Linked DNA regions of Struthio camelus. The protein of the gene in region 1 interacts with the protein of each later gene in a pairwise test. Links are inferred from orthologs where the notes say so. Each region holds a gene or a part of one and is shown on either strand. Other genes may lie near its edges.

The links.
Region 2: the proteins of MYPN (region 1) and ANKRD1 interact in a two-hybrid assay, tested with the Homo sapiens proteins (2 studies listed by BioGRID). The link is inferred for Struthio camelus from reciprocal best matches to the Homo sapiens genes MYPN and ANKRD1.

Annotation. Positions count from the first base shown.
Region 1 is NC_090948.1:38,655,479-38,666,377, forward strand, and holds the start of MYPN (myopalladin), read left to right. Parts: upstream 1-5,665; 5' UTR 5,666-5,706; intron 5,707-10,899. UniProt on the Homo sapiens protein: Component of the sarcomere that tethers together nebulin (skeletal muscle) and nebulette (cardiac muscle) to alpha-actinin, at the Z lines.
Region 2 is NC_090948.1:20,202,035-20,212,646, forward strand, and holds the start of ANKRD1 (ankyrin repeat domain-containing protein 1), read left to right. Parts: upstream 1-5,226; 5' UTR 5,227-5,381; coding exon 5,382-5,630; intron 5,631-7,456; coding exon 7,457-7,594; intron 7,595-7,700; coding exon 7,701-7,808; intron 7,809-8,472; coding exon 8,473-8,571; intron 8,572-9,700; coding exon 9,701-9,799; intron 9,800-9,965; coding exon 9,966-10,064; intron 10,065-10,226; coding exon 10,227-10,472; 3' UTR 10,473-10,612. UniProt on the Homo sapiens protein: May play an important role in endothelial cell activation. May act as a nuclear transcription factor that negatively regulates the expression of cardiac genes. Induction seems to be correlated with apoptotic cell death in hepatoma cells.

The DNA.
Region 1 (10,899 bases):
ACTAAAAGCACTGTTAAGTTCTCCTGAAATAAGAACTGGTCAGAGACAACAAGACTTTAGGATGAGCTTTCATTACCAGAGACACTGCTGTGAGGAAAAGCTATTTTTGTGGGCAAAGATACCTAAGTGTATGCAGACCCTTTCAGATGATAGATGCCTAGCGAAAACATTTGACAGACTATGAGGAGCAGCACCAGTTCCAGTTATGCTGGGGAGAATGCTCGTCCCATGGCAGGCAGGGGGTGCTGCTAGTGACTGATCGGCTCCAGGAGGAAGCAGAATTGTGCTTGTGCTCCTTAGGTCACTTTGTGACTCAAACGTCTGCACATGTTTTTTGACTGGTGTGTCCACAGTACACAATTAGACCATTGGTTGAATGAGGTATGAGGAATCACCTGAGCTTTGGTACCATTTCATGTACTTGCTTTTAAAGAGTAACAGCAGAAACAATCACTCAGACCTGCTTTGATCTCCAAACAGACATAGTGACAGCTGCTGTACATAAAACAACTGCAGCAGATCTGAAAGTGGCCTGGTCTAGTCTAGCTGAGCTTCATTAAAATCACAGACCCTTCAGAAACCAACCGTTAAAATAGGTTGCCAGCAAGTTTTTCTTTGTGGTGCTCTTTCCTGGGAGTTGCACTGCTAAGGCTCAGCTTGGTGCACCATCATTTCTTTTCCTTCTGGGGCTGCCTGTGGCTCACTCTGATCTCCATGTGTATGGTCAGTCTCAGCTGGCTCGTGGCCTTTGCCCTCTCTCTGGTTCTAGCCCCACTTGAAGTTGATGCTCCTTTGGCAGTAAATGCCAGCAGCCCTCAGCCATGTGCCTTTCGCTCTAAGGCTGGATTCCTGCTCAGAAGACTTTTTTGAAGTTCTTCCTCACTAGCTTCTGTGATAGGTATCTTATCTAACTAGTCAGGGCTGCTCTGTAATATCTGTCCCAAAGCTTACTGCCAACCAGCAGCTGTCAGCACTGTTTCCAGCACTAACCTCTAAAACTGAAATAAACCTTTGTACATATGTAATTGTGAGCCTGAGGTAGCTTGAGTTGAAGAATTTCTTACTCGAAACTAATGAGGCAAAGACATGCTATATGCTAGGCACATGATACTGTCCTATATGTACTACTGCCTTAAGGGCAACCTTGAAATCACTACAACTAGGGCAGCCCTATCTATTTACCCACTTGCCCCCCAAAAAAGTGCTCACCTGCTTCAATGACTTTGGGATAGTGTACCAGAGCCTTGTAAATGCTAAGTCCTGCCTCTTCTCTGAGCTATCAAAAAAAAAAAAAAAAAAAAAAGGGTGGTAGATCAATGTTGTAAAGGATAATGTGTTCTTCAGATCTTCAGGTACCATTTTCTTTCTTATGTTCTAAGTTTCTAAAACTCTCCAATACCGTACTTCAGAGGGCACCTTCCAGGCGCAGGCCTATTTGCAAGCTCATTGTTGGACTTGACAGTATGGCTAGTATTGAGGAAGCCTTCAGATGACCCCAAGAGACAGTGCAGACTCATCATATAATTTTGGGTAGTTCACCTGAATTTCTAATGATTGCTCTCTGCCAAACAATGCATAATCCATTTCATTTCTCAATGGTTCAGCGCATACCATTAATGGGACGATATTAACTTCATCATAACATCTAGAAATCAAGAATTTTCCATTTATGAGAAAACCTGAAAGTTCTTGCAATTGCAGTCTGATAATCCTACTGGGGAACAACAGCCAACCAGGCATGCATCAAGTTCCATTTCAAGACTCATTCCTTCTGCTTGTAAAGTCATCCAAAGAGTACTTTGAGCTCTGACAGACAAGATCTGAGAAATGCCAGCATGTCTGGTGCTCACGTAATTTATTCTCGGGTGCTGAGTCTTATCCCAGAGAGGCAGATGTTCCCTTCTGCTGACCAGCAAAGACAAAAGCACATAAAGCTGGAGGTTGTGGTATCGTGAAGTACTGCAGTAAGATTTTTTTAGTGCTCAGCAGTCAAAGGCCTGACTTTACTGTCTTCTAAAAATGTAGTAACAGAGATACAACAGTATTTTCCATGGACTCTAAGCTGTCATCTGCAAACCAGAAAATTTGACATTCTCTGATATTGCTCTACCAAGATGATAGCTTTGCAATGACCTGCATGTTTACTGTGTATGCCATAACTTCTTGTGATTCCTATAAGTTTTGTCCTTGGACCGCTTGCTGTTACTATAGTCAGTCTTACTGTCACAGTAAAGGCTCATAACTTTTAAGGTCTCTCAGTGCGACTGTTTCTCTATAATCCTTAGTTCATTTGTTGCATAGTTTGTTCAATGATTTTGCAATTCTAGCATCTGATATAAAAACCTCTTTTGCAGTAGAAATTTTTGCATATATGTTTGGATCAGATGGTTTGCAGTGAATAATCACTTTGGACTGCTTAATTTTGCATATCATGCGCTAAATGGCTATGCACTGCTTAAATTGTTTGCAAATTGCTGGTCTCCTACTTATTTTCTTAATTGCCCAAGTCAAGAATAGTTAAATTTGCTTCCTGATTCTGTGTGGAAGCCAAAAAGCTATGTAATTGCTACTGACCTAAGGATAGAGAATTTTGCATGATTTCCATAATTTTAGCACATTTTGTCAGCTGAATTGCTGGGTCATGCAGCAAATTGTAGAGTCGAACCTCTGTTTATATCTAGCAAATCACTTACAGAATTATCTATTATCTAGCAGTCTGGTCAGATTATTTAGCTATTAAATAAATCCACTTCTCCCCTCCTGCCCAAACTCCCCAAATTTAAGCCATTTAAAGACATATAAATTAGTGCCAAATATAATCTGTAAGGAGTTACTCTAAAGTCTGATTAAAAATGTATGTTCATTTTGAATAGGAACTTTTTACAAGTGTAAGTAATTCAAGCAGTTTATTACTGCCTACAGCCAGCCAGTTACTACACCAGGAGTGACTATACCACATTTTTATAATAATTATATCTCAGTAGACGTCTACATGGATTTACAGTTATTTTATCAGACACATTAGACCTCATTTTCAGGCTCCAGATTTTGTAATCTTTATCTATAGAAACTGTAATGTCCGAACTACAGCAGTGTGAGTCCAGCATCAATATCCACTTCTTGTCAGCACTGAATGGCTCATACCAACTGTTACAGATATTATAAAAGAGCACACTAGACCTCCATTCCAGGTATAAAGTTGCATTAGACATCATCAAATTCACAAAACTCCCATCCTGTCCCCAAAAGGAGGACTGGATTCACTATACAACTTCTCCATATCACTGAAGAAACCACAAGCTATTCTGACAATAATATTTTAGAAAGAGAGAGAAAAAAATAAAGAAAACCACCTTCAAGACATAAGGAGATTTACCTTTATCTATAATTTTTCATACTGTTACACAGTATGAAAAAGTCATATGTAAAACATCCTTCCTGAGTACTACATCCCATGAAAGAACCTCTTTGCTAGCAAAGGAGCTCCCTTGATACATTTTGACAAAATTGGAAGAAGGTCTAAAGGTCAGGTAATTATATCATTAGCTGTGGAAAGGGCCATCTACCAACTTCCCATAATACATACATATCATTATATAGTCTTCTAAAACTGGAGTTGTGACCAACATTTTTGATAAAATAATATATCAATAATCAAGCATCATTTTTGATAAGCCGGCAAGTTTAGTAATATTGATTTGTTGTTGTTGTTGTTGTTGCTGGTATCTAGAATGAGTAGAAAAGAAAATCTCTACATTTTCCAAGTGATACAGTAGGTTTTAGTCATTCATGTTTTTAACCAGAAACTCAATTTTACAGTGGTATTCTACATAATAATAGGCTTTCTCTGTGTACTGCTTAAAATATTTTGAAATTATTTCACATATGTTGATATTTCAGTTTTACTTACAGTTAAGTTTCAGTTACCGCTTTTAGCTATTTTTCTCCAGACAGTTTACTTCTGTGCATTCAGCAACCATTTTAGAAGATCTAGCTTTGTGAGGACTTGCAGTTAAAGGCCATCTTTAAGGATTTGTGCATTGTTGCACTGTTTATTGAATTGAACATTGAGAAGAAGTCAGGAATAGTGTATTCTTAAAAATAAGACATACACACACTTTTGCCCAGTTTGTCTTTGGAGCTGCAAAACTTTTAAATTGTTACCTGTTAGTGGGTTTCCCAGTGATGGTAATCCTTGAGTCCTGATCAAAACATAAGGATAATAACAAGAACAATTGCATTTAAAACGCTGAAGCATAAAGCAGGCGGACAAGGGTAGTACAATGCAAATACATTGCCCCTTGGATGAATCAGCAAAACCTGCAAAAGCATCTATAGAGGACGTTCGGCGGGGACGGAGACGGCACTCAGCGCCCATAGGTGCTGCTAGAGCGGTGGAATCCCTTTGCCCGATATTCTCCTGTCCAATGAGGTGGAATGCTCCGCAGGCACATGGTTTACGCTGCTCAAAATAACTTGGGACCTGCAAACTGACAAACGCTATTGCTCCGGTGGTGACAGGTTGTCCAGCTTCGTACAGCCATCCTCAGAAAAACGAAGGTTAACTTCCTTCGTTGTATGGACTCCTAGCTGTTTCTGTTCCTAAAGACTCGAAGAATTCCCTTGCTTCCGTAACTTTAATCTCACACTTCTGGATAACTGTCATCTCTACTTACTGCCAGGGCTGGGCAGCAACATCTGGAACAATTAAAAAAGGTAATGCCTCAACTTTAGATTGGTCTGTGTTTTGATTTTGTTGCACATGTATAGAGGGGTTTGATGAGCAAGTATATTTTAATGCTAATTATTGCTGATAAGACATATACAGGGAACAAATCATTTTTCAAGTGACTGACAAGTTATGCTGGGGCATGTGTATTACAACGAAAGAGAAACAGTGTTCCGCAGCATTATAAAGGGCTCGAATAGCACTGGTGGTGTTCTCAAAACTCCCTTGGAGCCAGTCTGTCTCCTCCAAAGAGTCAACAGAAGATAGTAACGACCTGAAAAGTTCATTGCCAGACTGTATTTTTCTTCCAGCTTTTTTTTCCCCTCCAAGTTCTGAAATAATTACATTCTGGTATTCACTCTTTAACTAAGATACCATAATTTGAATCTCCCTCTTAAACAAAATCAAGCCTAATTTAACACGACCTGATAGTTAAATACTTTCTATTATTTATTTATTTATTTATTTTGTCATGTAAAATGACCCCGCTGGCTATATTTAGTGCTGGGAGATCTGCTCTCTGGATTAATGTACACAACAGCTGCAGAGACAGTCCTGCTAGAAGGGCATTGCTCTCCCCCTTGAGCTCTCTATCTCCCTTGCTTGCGCGCTCTCTCTCTCCCTCTCTCTCTCTCTCTCTCTGAAAAGTATTTGACTGTCAGTGGCAAATGTTTGGCCCAATATATTGCAGCATTAAGCAGTAATCAGAAGCCCATCTTAAATTTTACAAAATAATACGTCAACAATTTACAAGCGAACAGAGTAGCTCTTGAGTTTACATCAACAGAACTTTATACAAATCATGCTAAAGGCACCGCTTGCTTTATCAGCAGTTTTGTTTTGGTCATGAGGTTTACATTTGTGAAGAAGCTCTAGAGTTTAAGAGTGAAAACAAAATCAGCAACTGTTCATGGAACCATTTCATAAACTTCATCGCTGCTCTTCTCCCTCTTCTACACCTCCTAAAGGTTCATAAGGTCAGGATAATTATTTATTTCCTCTTTTTTCTTCTTTCAGAAAGGGCTAACGGAATTAAAACAACAAGAGGAAGTTTCTAAGTTCTGGTAGCTGAACAGAATTACTTATTTACATATCAGATATCAATTACAGTCAGTTCAGGAGTAAAGTTTTATACTTGCCAGACTATCAAAGGCAGAGAAGCTGAGAGAGAACATGAAGAATACAACCATAACTGCAATCGGACAATGCAATCTAAATCATAGCCTAAATCGCTGGCAAAAAATCCAACCAAACAAACCCTTCCCCCCCGAAAAACAGTATCCTGTTCTATTAACTAGTTTAGTACTTGTTTTCATAAACAGTAATATCCTACAAGGATGGGCAAATTAATTCTGCCTAATTGAAATCCCACTTAAACATCATAATTAGTAAATATGAATCCAGTGTGATTTTTTTTTTTTAATGTTGCAAGGTTCTTATAGGAGACTGAAAAAAAAAAGTGAAAAAAGCAAGAATACCAGAAAAAATACTGTGAGAGTGTGAAAAAAGAGTGAAAGGTGCAATTAGACAAAAAATTTGTACAAAAAATACAAGCCAGATTTCTTTTATGTCTCATTTAAGGCTCAAATTTCCTTTCTCGCTAGGAACCAGTATTTGTATGACAACTGAACCTTGTCTGAAAAATAAAACAGCCCATAGTTTTAAAATTACTGAACCAAAAGATGTGCAAATGCCATTTAGACTACATACCTCCAAAACAGAATGACTGCTTTTCAGGGCTTTTTTTTGCCCAGTTTGTGCTTGCCCCGTCTGGCTATACATGCTATACAAGTTTTCTGGTCTTCAGATACACCTTGGCAATTCCCTTGATATCAGTGCCACTTAGATGCATGGGTCCAACACAGAGAATGTTGCTCGGTGTTTAAGTCATGAAAATGATCATTACAGCACTTTATGCATTATTATAATTTGTCAGTCTAGAGTCAGCATGTACAACATTTTTAAATCACTTTGTAGCCCTTAAAGCTAAGCTGTACCTTCAGTCCTGAACTAAGACCTTCCAGCAGTCCTCAGCCTCATGCATTGTGGATCTCTGCACCGCTCACTCATACAGTTAACAGGAATAGTAGAAATGACCTAGTATAAATCATTTGGGTCACAGTGGAAGTGAATTTGCAGTTTTAACCATGAAAGACTTACAGTGTACTTTGCCTGTATTTGGGCCAGAGTAAAAGAACATTTTTCACTGTTAGTCTTATCTTCCATTGTGGACTTCTGTATGTACACTCAGCACCAAACTGTGGACTTACTCTATGTTTCTGAGTCATTCGTGTAAACTCTTTCTCATAGGGTTAATCCCTGAAGGGAACTGGACTGCAAGCATTACTTAAGTCAATAAAAACTTGTCCTACAGCACTTGTTAGGACAAACTCTGAGTGTGGTACTTCATCTGCGGCTCAGCCTTCACAGGCCAATGGGAAAGGAGGATGAAGGAGCACCCCTGGCACTTCTCAAAGACTGCAGCCATCTGTTCTCTTTTTTGACCTTCTAGTTTAAAAATCAGGCTAAAATTATTTTAATTTCAATTTGACCTTATCTGCATTTTCTTAAAGATATTGCTTACCTTGTAGTTCAAGAAGAGTCACTGAGGAGGAAAAGAATTTGAGGCAAGGGTGAGAAAGGGTCTAAGTTCTCATTTTGAGCGCTACTAAGGGACAATATTAAACATGAAAAAATAAATACTTTTTTGTGATCAGATTAAAAGAACACAAAGGTCTTTCTATTATATGACAGTATGAAGGAACTGTTTAAAAAGATGAAGAGATTTGAGCATGCTTTTTCCTTGAAGAAGAGTTAAATATTTCACACCGCTTAGGATGCCTCCGTACTGTAACTTTGAGGTCACAGGCCAGGTGAGTAAGTATTCAAGGGCATGACTCCAGTGAGCATATGCTCACTAGAGCGTCTTCTGTGGAGTGATATGGAGAGGAGATTTATCCCATCCCATTTCTGAGAGGATAAAGTTCAACTCTTTTATTTTTTCTTTTGTGGGCTGTGTGATTATGCTGTCAGTGGGAAAAGGAAGAGACATTAGGGACAAAAATACAGTGGTAACGAAGGAGAACACATTCCACCTCTCACATCTCTAGCGCTAGAAGTTTCTTGCAAAATAGGTGCTTTTACCTTTTGGGTCATCTTCAATGCCTATGGATAAAATGGCAAATGCTTCCAAACAAGAGGAAAAGAATTGTAGAAGAAACCAGTACCACTCAAAAAAGCAGTCTAGATGGATCCTCTGCTACAGAAATATAGACTCTTTTAGATAGTCTGAGCTTCAAATCATTTGCTTGCGGTTTGATATTATTTACATCATGTTCATAAAGTATTCACATGCTAAATATAGCTCTGTAAATTATAATTATTTATTATTTGGCATTATATTGTTTAACTATATATAGATAATTCTATATTCCATTTGTCATGACAACCCAGGTAGGAATTTAGGTGTAAAGGGAGTTTAGAAGTAATTTTACCAGTTAAGGCCCCATTCCATAGTCACAAGTAATCAGAAGACATGAGGCATCATCCAACTCCCAAATCATTAAAGATTTATTTAAAAATAATGAAATTTCCCCAAATTCCAAATATTGGATGTTTTATATTTACCTTTTTCCTTTTTTATTCCCTTTAGCTCCCTATCAGCTTTAATGCTCATGGCTGTAGAGGAAAAGTTTTTGCGTTTTACTTGAAACTGCTTAAAAATTTAACTGTTTGGCATTTACAAACAGATGGGCTGGGAGGTGAGGGAGAGTGATTCACAGCTACTCCAAGTAAATCCAGGGCAGTGTAAATAAAGTTACTCCAGATTTATACTGCAATGAAGCTCAGGGCACAAGCTGAGCTATTAGAGGTTATATTTACAGAAGAGGGCCTCATTCTACTTATCTGAACAGAAGCAGCAGTAGCCATACATCAGTTATAACTACAGTTAAGAAATCTCTTGAACAGTATTTACATTCAAGCCAATGGCAGCAGTATGTGAAGATACTTAAAAGACCCCTACCCATCTCTTCACTATTTACAAAATTATATAACAGTGGGCAAGATACAACTACTAGCCTCTTCTAAACTTGCAATCAAATTTATTTATTTATTCCAGATCAGTTTTAAGGAATTTATAAAAAGGATTCGAGACTAGAGAAAATATTTAGAATATTAAAAAGTTGATATTGAAAAAATACACATGACGAAACAGAACGTCTCCTAAACACGGACATAATCTTTAGCCTACTTGTTCTTAGGGGAGTATTGTTTCCATCCGATGCTGTTACACTCCTGGGCTTGGAGGATCCCTCTTTAAATTCCATTGTTTAATTACATTACTTGGAAATGAAAGTTTAGTTACCTGACTTTCTGATTCATTACAAGAAGTGGAATTCAAAAGTACTAATATGTTTAAAACAAAAAAGTAAATCACTTTCTTTTAAGTAGCTTTCTAAAAACAGTTATTAAAAATATTTTACCCCCCCTGCCCCAAACACACACAAGACAGCTAACCTTAGTCCTCTGCTCCAGCCTACCCTTTCATTTGCCTGGAGTCTCAAAGTCTGTCTTACAGCAGCTATTGCATGTCAACTGGCAGTAACCGGAAACGATGACAGCGGTAACCGCTAAGTGAGAATTCCTGCAAGCACAGAAGAATGTGATTGTGATCTTTAAATGTCTGGAAGACAGATCACTTGTGTCATCTCTTAGCTTGATTTTCATAGCTGTTATCGTACAGTTGAAACACCCATACGATTGTTAGTGTTCAATAGTGTACAGGTAAATGGAATTTATTTGCAATTAAAGTAATTGGAAAAGGATATAGCCTGAATATTGGCCATACCCTCCAGTTTCCAAATAGAGGTGCTGGACATCCAGGTCCAGAGCCTCATTGTGTAAAGCCCACAAAGGTGCCACTATGCAAAGAAAGAAGCAGCTTTGCTCAATGTTCTGATACTCGGGTTTCACAGAAAAACAGTCTCATATGAAACTTATGGTATCTCGAAAAGCCAGACAGGAACACATGTATTGACTAAATTATTCATTTTTAAATCCAACTCAAGGCCAAATAAAGTGTTTAAATGCTTCATCTGCAGCTAACCTCTTTATTACAGTTAAGTGGAGGAGTGTTTGTCTGAAAAAAACTGTCTTTAGGCCATTAAGCATTCAAAGCGATCTCTCATCAACCAAAACAGATGACCTGCACTCAGACATATCCAGGAATCCCTTCAGCTTTGCTGAGATTTGACTATTGCTGTTTTCTTAGGAAAAGCGCAGATTCTTTCAGTAACGACTCAGCAGCAGGTCTAACAAGCCTCATGCGACAGGGAATAAAAGGGTACATCGAGTCTCCCAGCACAAGCTTCCACAAAATGATTTTTAGGTCAACCCGTTGCCAAAACAAACTGTGGAAGCTAATTTTATGTGTATTTTTATGTGTATTTTATCCTAAAGATCACTTTGTTAATAAAATACAGGCACAGCATGCTTGTGCAGCTAGCTGGCTAACGGAAACTAGCTCAACAGCCTGAAGAAGTAAGTGCAGTCAGTCTTGTTTGTGACACCTTCTGATGCTTCTTAATAATAATAGGTGCCCAAAGTCACTGCTGCTAGTGTCCTGGTTGACAGGGAGAGCAAAAAAATGTTGCCCTCAATGCACTAGCTGTTTGATATTGTAGGTAATATGAATCAGTCAGGGAGGGAGAACTGTTGACTGCTGGAGTCATCCCATTTTCAATTCTAAATGACAGCAGTTTAGAGGCATTATTTGCAATTCCCTCCCTTGGTACTGGTTCATTAAGACAGAGATTTTTCAGTCTGCAAAATTCTTGGTGCTTTCATTGACAGCACAGAGTGCTATTTAGTGTGTCTTTCCCGGAGTTTGTCTTTCTTACTGCTTGCTCCTTACAGCTCAGCAGAAATATCCGTGATTACTGTATACATTTTTTTTTGCTCCCTGAGATGACAGCAGTGGGTCACACACTGCCTCTCCCAGAGGTTTATCCCAATACGTGCTGGTGGAGTGTGGGGTGGTTTCTGTGAGGCCACAGAGACCCTTTTTTTCCAAAGTCCCAATCAGAAAAAATTAAAGGGAAGGCATAGGTAGGGCAATTGCTCATCCCTAATCTAAACAATTCATACGGTCAAGCAAAGAGAAAGACAAG
Region 2 (10,612 bases), about 18 Mb from region 1:
ATCATGATAAAACTCAAGGCCTGTGATGCATTTAAATCCTTTGGTTTTGAATATAAATCACTACTTTTTCTATTATGTGAAAACCCTAACTCTAATGACATTTGAGGTGGGTTTTTTTAGCCCTACAGTAAGTGATGCAACTATCAACTCACTGCTATTTTGGGTTTTGACACTGGAGGACTGTTCTGTTCAGACTAAAAACCTGCCAGACTATGAGACTTCCGTGTTTCTTTTATAACAGATGATCTGAACAAATGGAATCTATAGCCACATCCTTCTGTTAGTTTAATAATTTCTTATATTCTAATTTTGCAGTTAACACTAACTTTACATTCTTAAGTGAAGCAGGTTTTTTTTTTCCCCTCCCCTTGTAAGGGGACAACGTATTTCTCTGTAGCAGCTTTATACACAAAAATATTGCTGAGAAGTCTCTGGGCTGTTTTAAGCAGATAATGTAATAATTCCCTGTTCACTTTAGAAAAAAACAGACAGACATATATATCAATGTGTTGAACAAGCTAGGGCATGAGTGACATAATTTGCATATTATATTTAGCTCCTACCAAAACTGCTTTGTGACAATAAATATCAAATAGTTTATCTGTTAGGCAAATAAAAATGCTTCCTGCCTCTTAGGGGAAAAGAAAGAGTTAAAAAAGAAGAAGAAAAAAAATATAGTTCCTGCAATGTACTATGATTTACTGCTCTGTTGGGTGCACATATACGTTAGATACGCTGGATGCTCATACATATAAAAAAATAAACAAGCCATTAAACACTGACAGATCCCAAATCCAGAAGGAAATAAGCTCTGGGTTACTGTTTCTCAGGTGTACCTTAGTTATGCAATTAGCCCTGACTGCACACTCATGGAACATAGTTTGCTGGATTAATACCCTCTTAAGTGCATAATCACTTCTCAGCAACTGATTTTTTCACACCTTTACTTATTTAGCAGCAGGAGATGGACAGAGACAGCCAGGCACAAAGGCATTGCAAAGGGCAACATCTTCCAAGGCAAGGACAGAGCCAAGGGCAGTGTTCTGGAAAATGTAAGATAGCCAAGTAAGGCAATGACAGCACTGAAAATATGCTGGTAATACACTTCCCAAGAGGTGGCAATATCACTTGTACCAAACCTAATGCTTTCACTCTACCATTAACCTCTTTTAAAATTAATTTTAAAAAATTCTTTGCACTATTCAAACAACTTCTCTGACAGCAGGGAACAGGGTGTGCCCTATAGTTTTCCCTCTCTCATGCTGAGCCTGCTGGGCTCCTGTTTCTGTCTGTGAAGTCTTTCTGTGACAATACCCGGTTGCCTTGCCTCTTGCAGATCTTTGCTCTGCCCTGCTGGCCACTGTTCTTCAGATTCCCGTTACACATCTCCCACTGACCATCTCCTATTACTAACTTAACAGAGATATGAGAAATCACTTGTTGAAAGGTGATTAAGCGGTTACAGTCCAGCATAAGGTTGCCAGCCTTCTGCCTCCAATATTAAGCAGTAGCGGTAAGCATCTGAATTAGAGTCTTAGCTGATACGAATGTGTATACTTCTACTGATTTCAGTAGGGTTGCCTTGCTTTACATGACATTTAGCTCAAAAGCACTTACCCACTAGGTTAATTTAGACTCCAGCCCTTGGTTAAAGGAGGTTTCTGTGTGCCACCCTTTGCTGTACTCAGCATTATCAAGGAAGATTCTTTTTTATTCCTTGTTATTCTCTTTAGCCTCTTTATGCTTTAAAGAAAGTTATTGAATGTGGCTGTTTTCTTTGGTAGCGCTGTGAGGAACCTGTACCACAAAAGTGGGCTTGTGTTTCCCCTCGGAGCGCTGAGGTCTACTGTAAAGCTAGTCTAGGTTTGATTTATGAAGCACTTGCACAGAAAGCTCTCTCCACTTAAACCTTCTAGTCTATGTTTTGCTGAGTCCATTTTATCTGTCTGGCTGTGGAAAAAGAAAAAAAATGGAAAGCATAAAAAAGGAAAAGTAAGGTTCAAATATAACGAGGCCTGAGGTAGTTCACAGCTTCTTAAACAGTTTTTGCTCTTCAGGCAAACTGCTAACCAGCCCTACACCTCCCTTCCCACGTCAGCTCTCTGCTGTAACCTGTTTCCCTGAAATGAGAAGAGGTCTTTGCAGCCTTTCTATTACGACTGTGGATGTCAAGACAATTTCCCAGATAAGAGAAGAGCCATAGAATGAAACAGGCTGAAATCACCTGTTACAGCACATTTGCAAACATGAAAAAGCCAAACAGAGCGGCCTCTTACCACAGCAACATACAGCAGGGGTACAAAACTGCTGCGAAAAAAAATCCTAAAGTGTGATTCAGGACATACCACTGCAGGGGAGTGATATCCTGGCTGTACTTAGGTTTGGAAAAAAATGTTCTGAAAGGTTCTCTTGCTGCCACATACTCTATTTTAGTTCTGGGGCTCATTCTGTAATGTCATATATATTCTGAGTAGTAAAGGAACCACCTGATGTCCAGCTCCATTTCAGGGAAAGGGAGGTCATAGGTACGATGGGGACTAGAAGACAAGTTTGGATGTACTCAAATTACTGGGAGATCAGAAGAGTAGAGACACCTTGAAAGGTCAGTATCAGAAACACAGCCTGTTAATGATGCTAATGATATAAACAACACCCAATATATTTAGGACTCGATTTGGTGAAGCACTTAAGTGCATATTGTACTTTAAGCACCTGAGTAGTTGCACTGATTTCAACCAAGTGACTTGAACACCTAAAGCAAGGCCTATGCTCACCACATAGAAGTGCTAAGCACGGGATAATGACAGAACTGATTTTCTTGGCATTTATCCACACTCTCTAAATGCACAGATTAGTGGATCTTCCTTTTATAAAATTGCCTTTTGCTGGTGTTCATCAGCCTGCTCTCAAGCTATTCTGTTTTGTGGCACAAGAAAATCTTGCCCCTCTAATTTCTTCCAAAGGACTCAAAAATCTCTTTTCGCTCAAAACTAACCCAACATTTCTATGTATCTGCCTCTACCCAGTCTCATCACCAAAAGTGAAGAGGTCACATTTGTGCCCCTATTCTCTCACATTCAAAAGGAAAATATTACCTGAGAAAACAATCCAACTTTTACTTTTTTGGCATAATAGGCTTAATTTATTATTCTGCTTATAATTACTGACAACGTCCCAGAAAAATGCAAAGCTTACTGTTTTGAGACCTTTCACTGATTGTAACTTATCATGTCATAGGCCCTTTTAGCACCAGAGACATCATTCTGGCTCAGTAATCCCTTCAGAGAATTCCTTCCAACAAATATAGGAGAGTGCCATCATGATGAGAAAAATCCTTTCCCCTAACACTGTTTACCATCCAAGAATAAACAGCAATGAAAAGAATGGCTTCCCAAAACTTAAGGGGGTCCTCATCCACTTATCAGGAAAACATTGCTACAAGTATCGCACATAAGCAACTTACCCTTTCCAGTGGATTCCAGTCAGCTGAAAGTCGGTTTGAAAAAAAAAAAAGAAAAGAAAAGAAAAAGAAAAGCCGTCGTAACGCTGTATCAACAGACAGCTGTCCTAGTGGGCACCGGGGACACAGCATGACTAGCATTGCTGAGCCGTTCAGTCACTGCCGAAGGAACGATGATCTCACATTTCGTTCCGATTCACACATGCGGGGCAGTGAGACAGAGAGACTGGACCGTCCCCCCCGGTTGAGGTCCCCCCCCCCCTCCTCGGGACACCAGAGCTGGCTAGTTAACATGTCTGGAATGAGTGTGAACCTACCTCCTAGCTGGCAAACCCCAGCGGCATACTTGGATTCCCAGGTTGGAAGATTATCTCATTCACGCAAAGTTCTCCCAAAGATATATAAGCAAAGCCAGGGTGGTGGCCCCTGCAGAGCTTACTTGAGCCCTTGGGAGCTTCATCCACGCAGGAGTACAACCTCAACCACTGGCAGATATGATGATGATGCAAGTTGAAGAGCTGGTAGGTACAACCTTCTTTCATTTATTCATAGTTATTTTTCCTCCTGAACTGTTGTACCAGTCAGAAAGAGACAACCTTTGTGGATTGTTGAGGTGATTCAGAGGGTGACCATTAATGCTGTGCTTTAGGTATAAAAATTGTGTATGTTATCCTAACATATTCTCACTTTAACCTTGTCTTGGGAAGGGAACTCACCACTGATACCACTACACAGCTGCATGGGTTTCGCATCACCAGATATTTCACCAGGATGAACAGACTGATCAAAAATTAGCTGTGTATTTTCTTTTGACCTTGATTTTGACTTTTTTAAAAGCTATTATGTTTATGATCACTCAGATAATTCCAGTCCAGTAAGGGATTAGGAGAAGGTCTCAATACAGGGAAACCAAACCTTTTCTTTTTTAATCCAACATTAAGCATTACTAACAGCTCTTGCACTTGCTACTTTTCTCGGTGTAAAAAGCCTTTGAAAAATAACATCTAAACCAAACCACAAGTAATGGGACCAAAGGGACTCCATTGCAGAGTTCAGACAAATTATTCTTGATTTGACCAATAAAGAGGGACAATCCACTACAACATTGGAATATTATAAGGAAACTCCTTTTCCTTCCAGATGGGTAAATTAAGATGAAACTACCATAAAGCCTAACTAGTTAATGCTGTCTTAAATTCTTGGGCAAGGCTCTGCCTTTTCTTCTAGCGTTAAACTCTTTTGGCAAGGCCCTGCCAATTTCTCTAGTGTTAAACTCTGTGACAAACATAATTTTACAAGGGTGATTGAATGAAAAGCCAGTCCATATCAGATGAATTTACTGAGCTACTCTCAAAATATACCACACCCTCCACTAAGTTTAACATGTGATCTCTTTGGACACACTTCATCAAGCATATCTCCAAAAACTATTCAAAACTGTCAGCAAAAACAATCAAGCATCCCACAGCTTGTTCACAGGAACCACCTTATGCTATCTTGCTAAGTGCTATAAATGGGGACTTTGGTATTGACAGCAATGGGTAAGATCAGCCTTGAAATTACTCAGCAACCTTATTTAATTGCACTGTGTGTTTCACTCTAAGTGTAAGGTCCCAAGGGAGACGGCCTCTCCTCTCACTCTGCTTGCTCACGGGGCACTGCTCAGGGTGGCTCTTCCCACCAGCGCCTTTTACCTCCATAGATCTTGACCAAACCCTTGAGAGGCCAACGGGGGGGGGGGGGGGGGGGGGAAGGGTGGCTCTGTGGAGGTGGAAGAGCTCCCTGCAAGTGAGATTGCTCTAGCTGCTCACATGCACAGTTAACCCAGGCACAGGCTGAGTGAGGTCTGCACTCTGTCTATCACACACTCCTAGAGCAGGACACTTTAAAAAATGACATGCAGTTAGCTCCTAGGTAATCCATGTTCCCAGGAGCTGGCTGCTTCAGTCATGAAACTGCTGCTTATATTATATTGCATTTGCTTTTGCAGGTAACTGGGAAGAGAACTGATGATAAAGAGACTGGCAGTTTCCTCCCCGAGGACTTCAAAAATGGAGAGTATGAAGCTGCTGTAAGGTTAGAGAAGCAGGAGGATCTAAAGACAGTCTCTGAACATGTACTGACCCGAGGAGATCTGGCCTATCAGAAAGAGAAAAAGCTAGAGGCAGAGGTAAGCTCTTAAGGTTTGTGCTCAATTTTTGACATCCTGTACACACCTTGCTCAGTGCCCTCGGAGTCTTGTCTCTTTCTAATTAAGAAATACATGCCTTGCGAGCTAGCTAAACAAACCCTTGGGAGATTGCTACCAAACGAGTACTTGGTCTGACGCCCATCGAAGGCAGAGCTGGACCTGCTGGCTCTCATAGGCGATGGCTCCAGGCAGTAGCCACAACTCCCCAGTAAAGTCTGCCCCAAACCCTGTGGGCTCTCTCCTGCCCAGTCCCCTCTGCTAACTCTCAGTAAGGGGGAACAAACATAAACTAAGATACCTTCAGCTGGGCACACCTAATGACTGCCACCAAATATAACTAAAGCAAGAAAGCTTTCACAAATTGGCACTGCTTTGCTTTCCACCAAGGATGTGAGAGTGCACTTCTGAAGCCAGAAGCCCTACCTACCATACAAATATTCTTTTTATGAAAACTCTGCAGTGTGCTTACTAGCACATTTGGAAAAATAAATAAATACAAATGAAAGTGATATCGATCTACAGAAAAGTTCCATTTTGTATTTCTGTAGCATGACAATTCCTCCCATACCCCCCCAAACTGATTCTTTTTTCCCAAAATACAGTAGCTGTAACATTTTACATTCTTGGCCTCAGAACTTAGAGCAATACGGGAATGAAGAAGTTGAACTAGCAGGGAGAATAAGGCTTTGGTCTGAAAGAGAAGGATGAAAAAGTGAGCTTCCAAAATATTATGTGAAATAAATACAACTACTGGCCTTCACCTTCCACCTGGAGGTCATTACTTGCTACAGTTCCTCTATCCAAAACAACCACCTTGTCCTAACAGTTCTTGGAATTTCCCGTTGATCGAAAGCCCATCCAAGCCAACAGAATATTTTCCACTAACTCAATGATCTTAATGCAGTGAACAGTAAAAAAGGAGAGGTCAAAATTACTTGAATAAGAATTCAGTTGAAAGAAATCTATTATATGGCAGGGCTTCACCAGTGTATTTACCCTTAAAGATACCACGGGGCAGAATTTGTCACTTGTCTTCGCCCTGAGTTACCCTTCTGCGAGTCACCCTTCTGAAGTCATGGACACAAGGACCCTCATAGTATTTGAGATCCTGGCCCTTAATTCAGGCAACACATTTGTGCCTGGTGTTAGCAGAGCCCCATACTGACCTCATGCAGTGATCCTTTTTTCAAGTAGGCTTGAAGAAGTCTTAAACGTGTACTGAACTGCCTTCTCAAGGATACCGGAGACAACCTTTGTAGCTTACCAAAATGTAACATTTCCTGAATGAAATGCTAAAATCAGTATAAACCTTGCAATTCACTTAATGGTATATTTTTCATCAAAGAGGATTAAGTTAAAATAAATCAAGCAGCCTACATCCTAAAAGTAGATGCTGGGTAGAAGTCAGTAAAAACTGCAGGGGCTTTCCAGCCCTTATAAGTTAACCATGAGATTTCTTAAATTGTTGAGCCAGAAGGGACTGTGGGGCTGCTCCAACTCCTAGCATAACGCAGAAAAGCTATGCTATCCCCCAACATATGGCTGAGGAGAGAGACAGCATTTAGAAAGGGGGCCAAGGGCGTATGATGATGTAGATTTTCTCACACCCCTAGTAATGTATTATAATGGTTAATTAGCCCTAGTTGTTTAAAAAAAAAAAAAAAAAAAGGCAACTTAGTTCAAAGCTCATGCAGTCTTAACCTAGCCGAACTCCGCTGAAGAACAGCGCACCCTGTCCTACCCCTCTGAAAGGCAGAGAGGTTTACGCTGCAGCTCAGCTTGCTGCCTTCCCTGCTCTGTTTCAGCTCAAGAAGAAAAAATTACAGGAGAGGTCAAAACTTGAAAACTTGGAGGATCTTGAAAAAATTATTCAGCTGAAGAAGAAGAAAAAATGCAAGAAAGAGAAAGCACCTATTTTAAAGGAACCTGAACCAGAAGTTATTGTAAGTCCTATTACGAAGTGTTTTCTTCTGTGAAAGGACCGATGGGGTTTTGCACTATTGCAGAGCTGCCACACGCGTTTACGTGCTGTGTATGTCTCTCCACCAGACAGGACCAGTGGATATACCCACGTTCTTTACTGCTGCACTGGAGAACAAGTTGCCAGTAATTGAAAAATATTTGTCAGACAAAGGGGATCCAGACGTCTCTGATGAGGTACCATATCTCTTCTTACTTCAAAGCCTGCTACAGAAGAGAGATTATTAGTGAGCAAAAATAACTATTACCACTAGGTTTTGTGGCTTCCATACTTTTGAGGTGAAGAAAAGGGGGAGGGGTGAGAAAGCAAACATCAGGAGTTGGACATACTACATTTTCCTGTGTCAAAGGGACCACTTCAAAGTAACGTTACAGCTAAAGAATCTTTATATTTAAAAGAAATATCCTGGGGACTGGAAGACCCTGCCTCCTGTACCAGGTGATCTTCCAGTGCCGCAGAGGGTCAGATAAGGATTTTTTTTTCTGCAGAACTACAAAAAAGTGATGCTGCCTGCTCTCATTCTCCATAACACACAGGCTGCATTTGCAAAATGCAGCATAGTATGTTGAATGGAGGAATTCAACAGGCACCATTTTAAATTTCAGTGTCATACTGCAGATATTCCTCATGCCCTTTAAAATGCTAGGGCAGGCAGCTCTCTGTTATTAGGATGCTATTAAAATTTAGCAGATTTCAGGTCTCAAAAGCATTAGCTCTGGAAAATGAATCCGCATAAAGCATGTGTGTTTGCCATCACCCCAGGTAGGCAGGGAGACAAGATTTAAAGAGATCTCTTTGTGCCACATTTAATATCTGACTTTGCACTGTTTTAATTGACAGTACAAACGCACTGCATTGCACAGGGCATGCTCTGAAGGACATCTAGAGGTGGTGAAAAAGTTAGTGGAAGCCGGAGCCCAGCTTGAACTGCAGGATATGGTATGCACATCAACTCACGTTCATTTCAAAAAATTGCTCATTGTTTCCTAACTCTGACAAAAGACACACACAACAGCGAAGAACAGCAAAAGGCCTCTGTTAATTAAAGTGTCTTGTAAGTTTATCCTTAAAAGAACACTGCTGAGGAGAGGTTTCAAGAGGGGGTGTCTGCCTCACTTTCCCAAAACGGTTGCTGGAAAACACAGGAAGCGGAGGAGCATATCGGCCAGTAGACTGCCACAAACAACAGAGCCTAAAGAAGGATAAGAAAGCTGAGGTCAGGCTACCACTTCAGACTGCTAGCAGGTGGTGGAGATACCACTGTCCCACGCCTTTATCAAGGGCTCAGCGCAATATATACGTTCTCCCTCAGGATTTCAACACTGAGCTCAGGAGAGACCTCTGCTCCTCTGGAATGCTGGCCATGGGGGTAGCTGAGTATGAACAGCTTTTGCAGCTGTTTTCTTGCTTCTCCGTTCCCAGCATTTTGTGCCTTTACTACACAGTTGGAATCAGCCAACCTCTTTCCCCCTCGCTTAGCCCTGCAGTGATTGTGGGTAGCGTAAGAAACATGAGGAATGACCAGCAGAGCAAGATCTGCAAGGGAAATTCCACCCCTTGCAACAGAGCTTAGTGGAGAGAAATCAAATACTGCAGAGGTGAAGTGCTCCAACTCACTTCGGGAGCCTCCGAGAGTTTGAAAGAGAGAACTATTCTTTCCCTTGATCGTCATGTTCTGTGTGCTTTGGAATCCAAAAGGCATCAAATAAAAATAAAAAATATGAAATAGCACACATCAGCCATAAAAATCATACCTGGCTCTCCAAAGATAACTTCTAGGTTCACAGAATGGCTGACAAAACATATCCCTTCTCACAGCCAAGACTCTGTGTCTTTAAGAGCAATATGCAGTGATTGTAAAGAGTGAGAAACTGGCAGTACTAAAGGAATTAGGGCAAAATAAGAAAAGCTGTTACGAGAAACAACTCAATGATCACAGTAAAATGCTTGAGGTTGAATGCAAAATCGTTTTCACGCAATTTATTTATAAACTTGATCAGAATTGTTTAATTTGTTCTTTTTCATAAGGGTGAATTAAATTACCTTTCGTGTATTTTTCTTGGTGTAGCTTGAATCTACAGCCTTGCACTGGGCATGCCGAGGGGGGAACCTGGATGTCCTGAAATTCTTACTGGACAAAGGAATAAACAGAAATGCCAGAGATAAGGTAGGTCCTTTTGAGACTCAGCAGCTTTGTCGATTGCAGATGAAAAGCTGACCCTTACTCGAAATTGCTGATTTTTGGTGGCCGTTCCTGAAGCGGTCTGCCTTTCTGATTTTCTCTTTATGCGTTCTGCCCCACTGACTGCTCTCTCTCGCCTCCTGCTTCTCAGCTGCTCAGCACCCCTTTGCACGTGGCTGTGAGAACGGGTCAGTACGACTGTGGGGAGCACCTCATCGCCTGCGAAGCAGATCTCAATGCGAAAGACAGAGTAAGTACTAACAACTTCTTACCTGGCAGTTACAAGGTAGCATCAAGCTGACGTGTGTCTTCATAGTTCAGCTTGCTTGTACGAATTAGCGGCTGGGCTGCTCGGTGCGGAGCGCGGTGGTGGAGGGCCAGACTGACGGTGCTCTATGTCTCATGCCTCTAGGAAGGAGACACACCAATGCACGACGCCGTGAGGCTGAACCGCTACAAGATGATTAGACTTCTGATTCTTTACGGAGCAGATCTAACCATAAAGAACTGCGTAAGTAATAGCAAAATATTCTGGAATTCAAAATGCTTTGGAACGGGTTTCCTCCCGCCAGAGCAGCGTCGTAGCTTTCAAGGCCAGAAGAGACTACTGCCAAGCGGCTCCCTAAGACCGCTTCAAACTAAATTACAGCGGAGATGACGTATGGGGAAAGCATAACTTGGGGGAGGGCAGCAGGAAGAAGGAAAATGGTACCTGTTCTAAAACCAGAACTCATCAGCTGTAATTTAAAACAACATCACATCTTACTAATTTCATTGCACATATACGATATTAAAAAG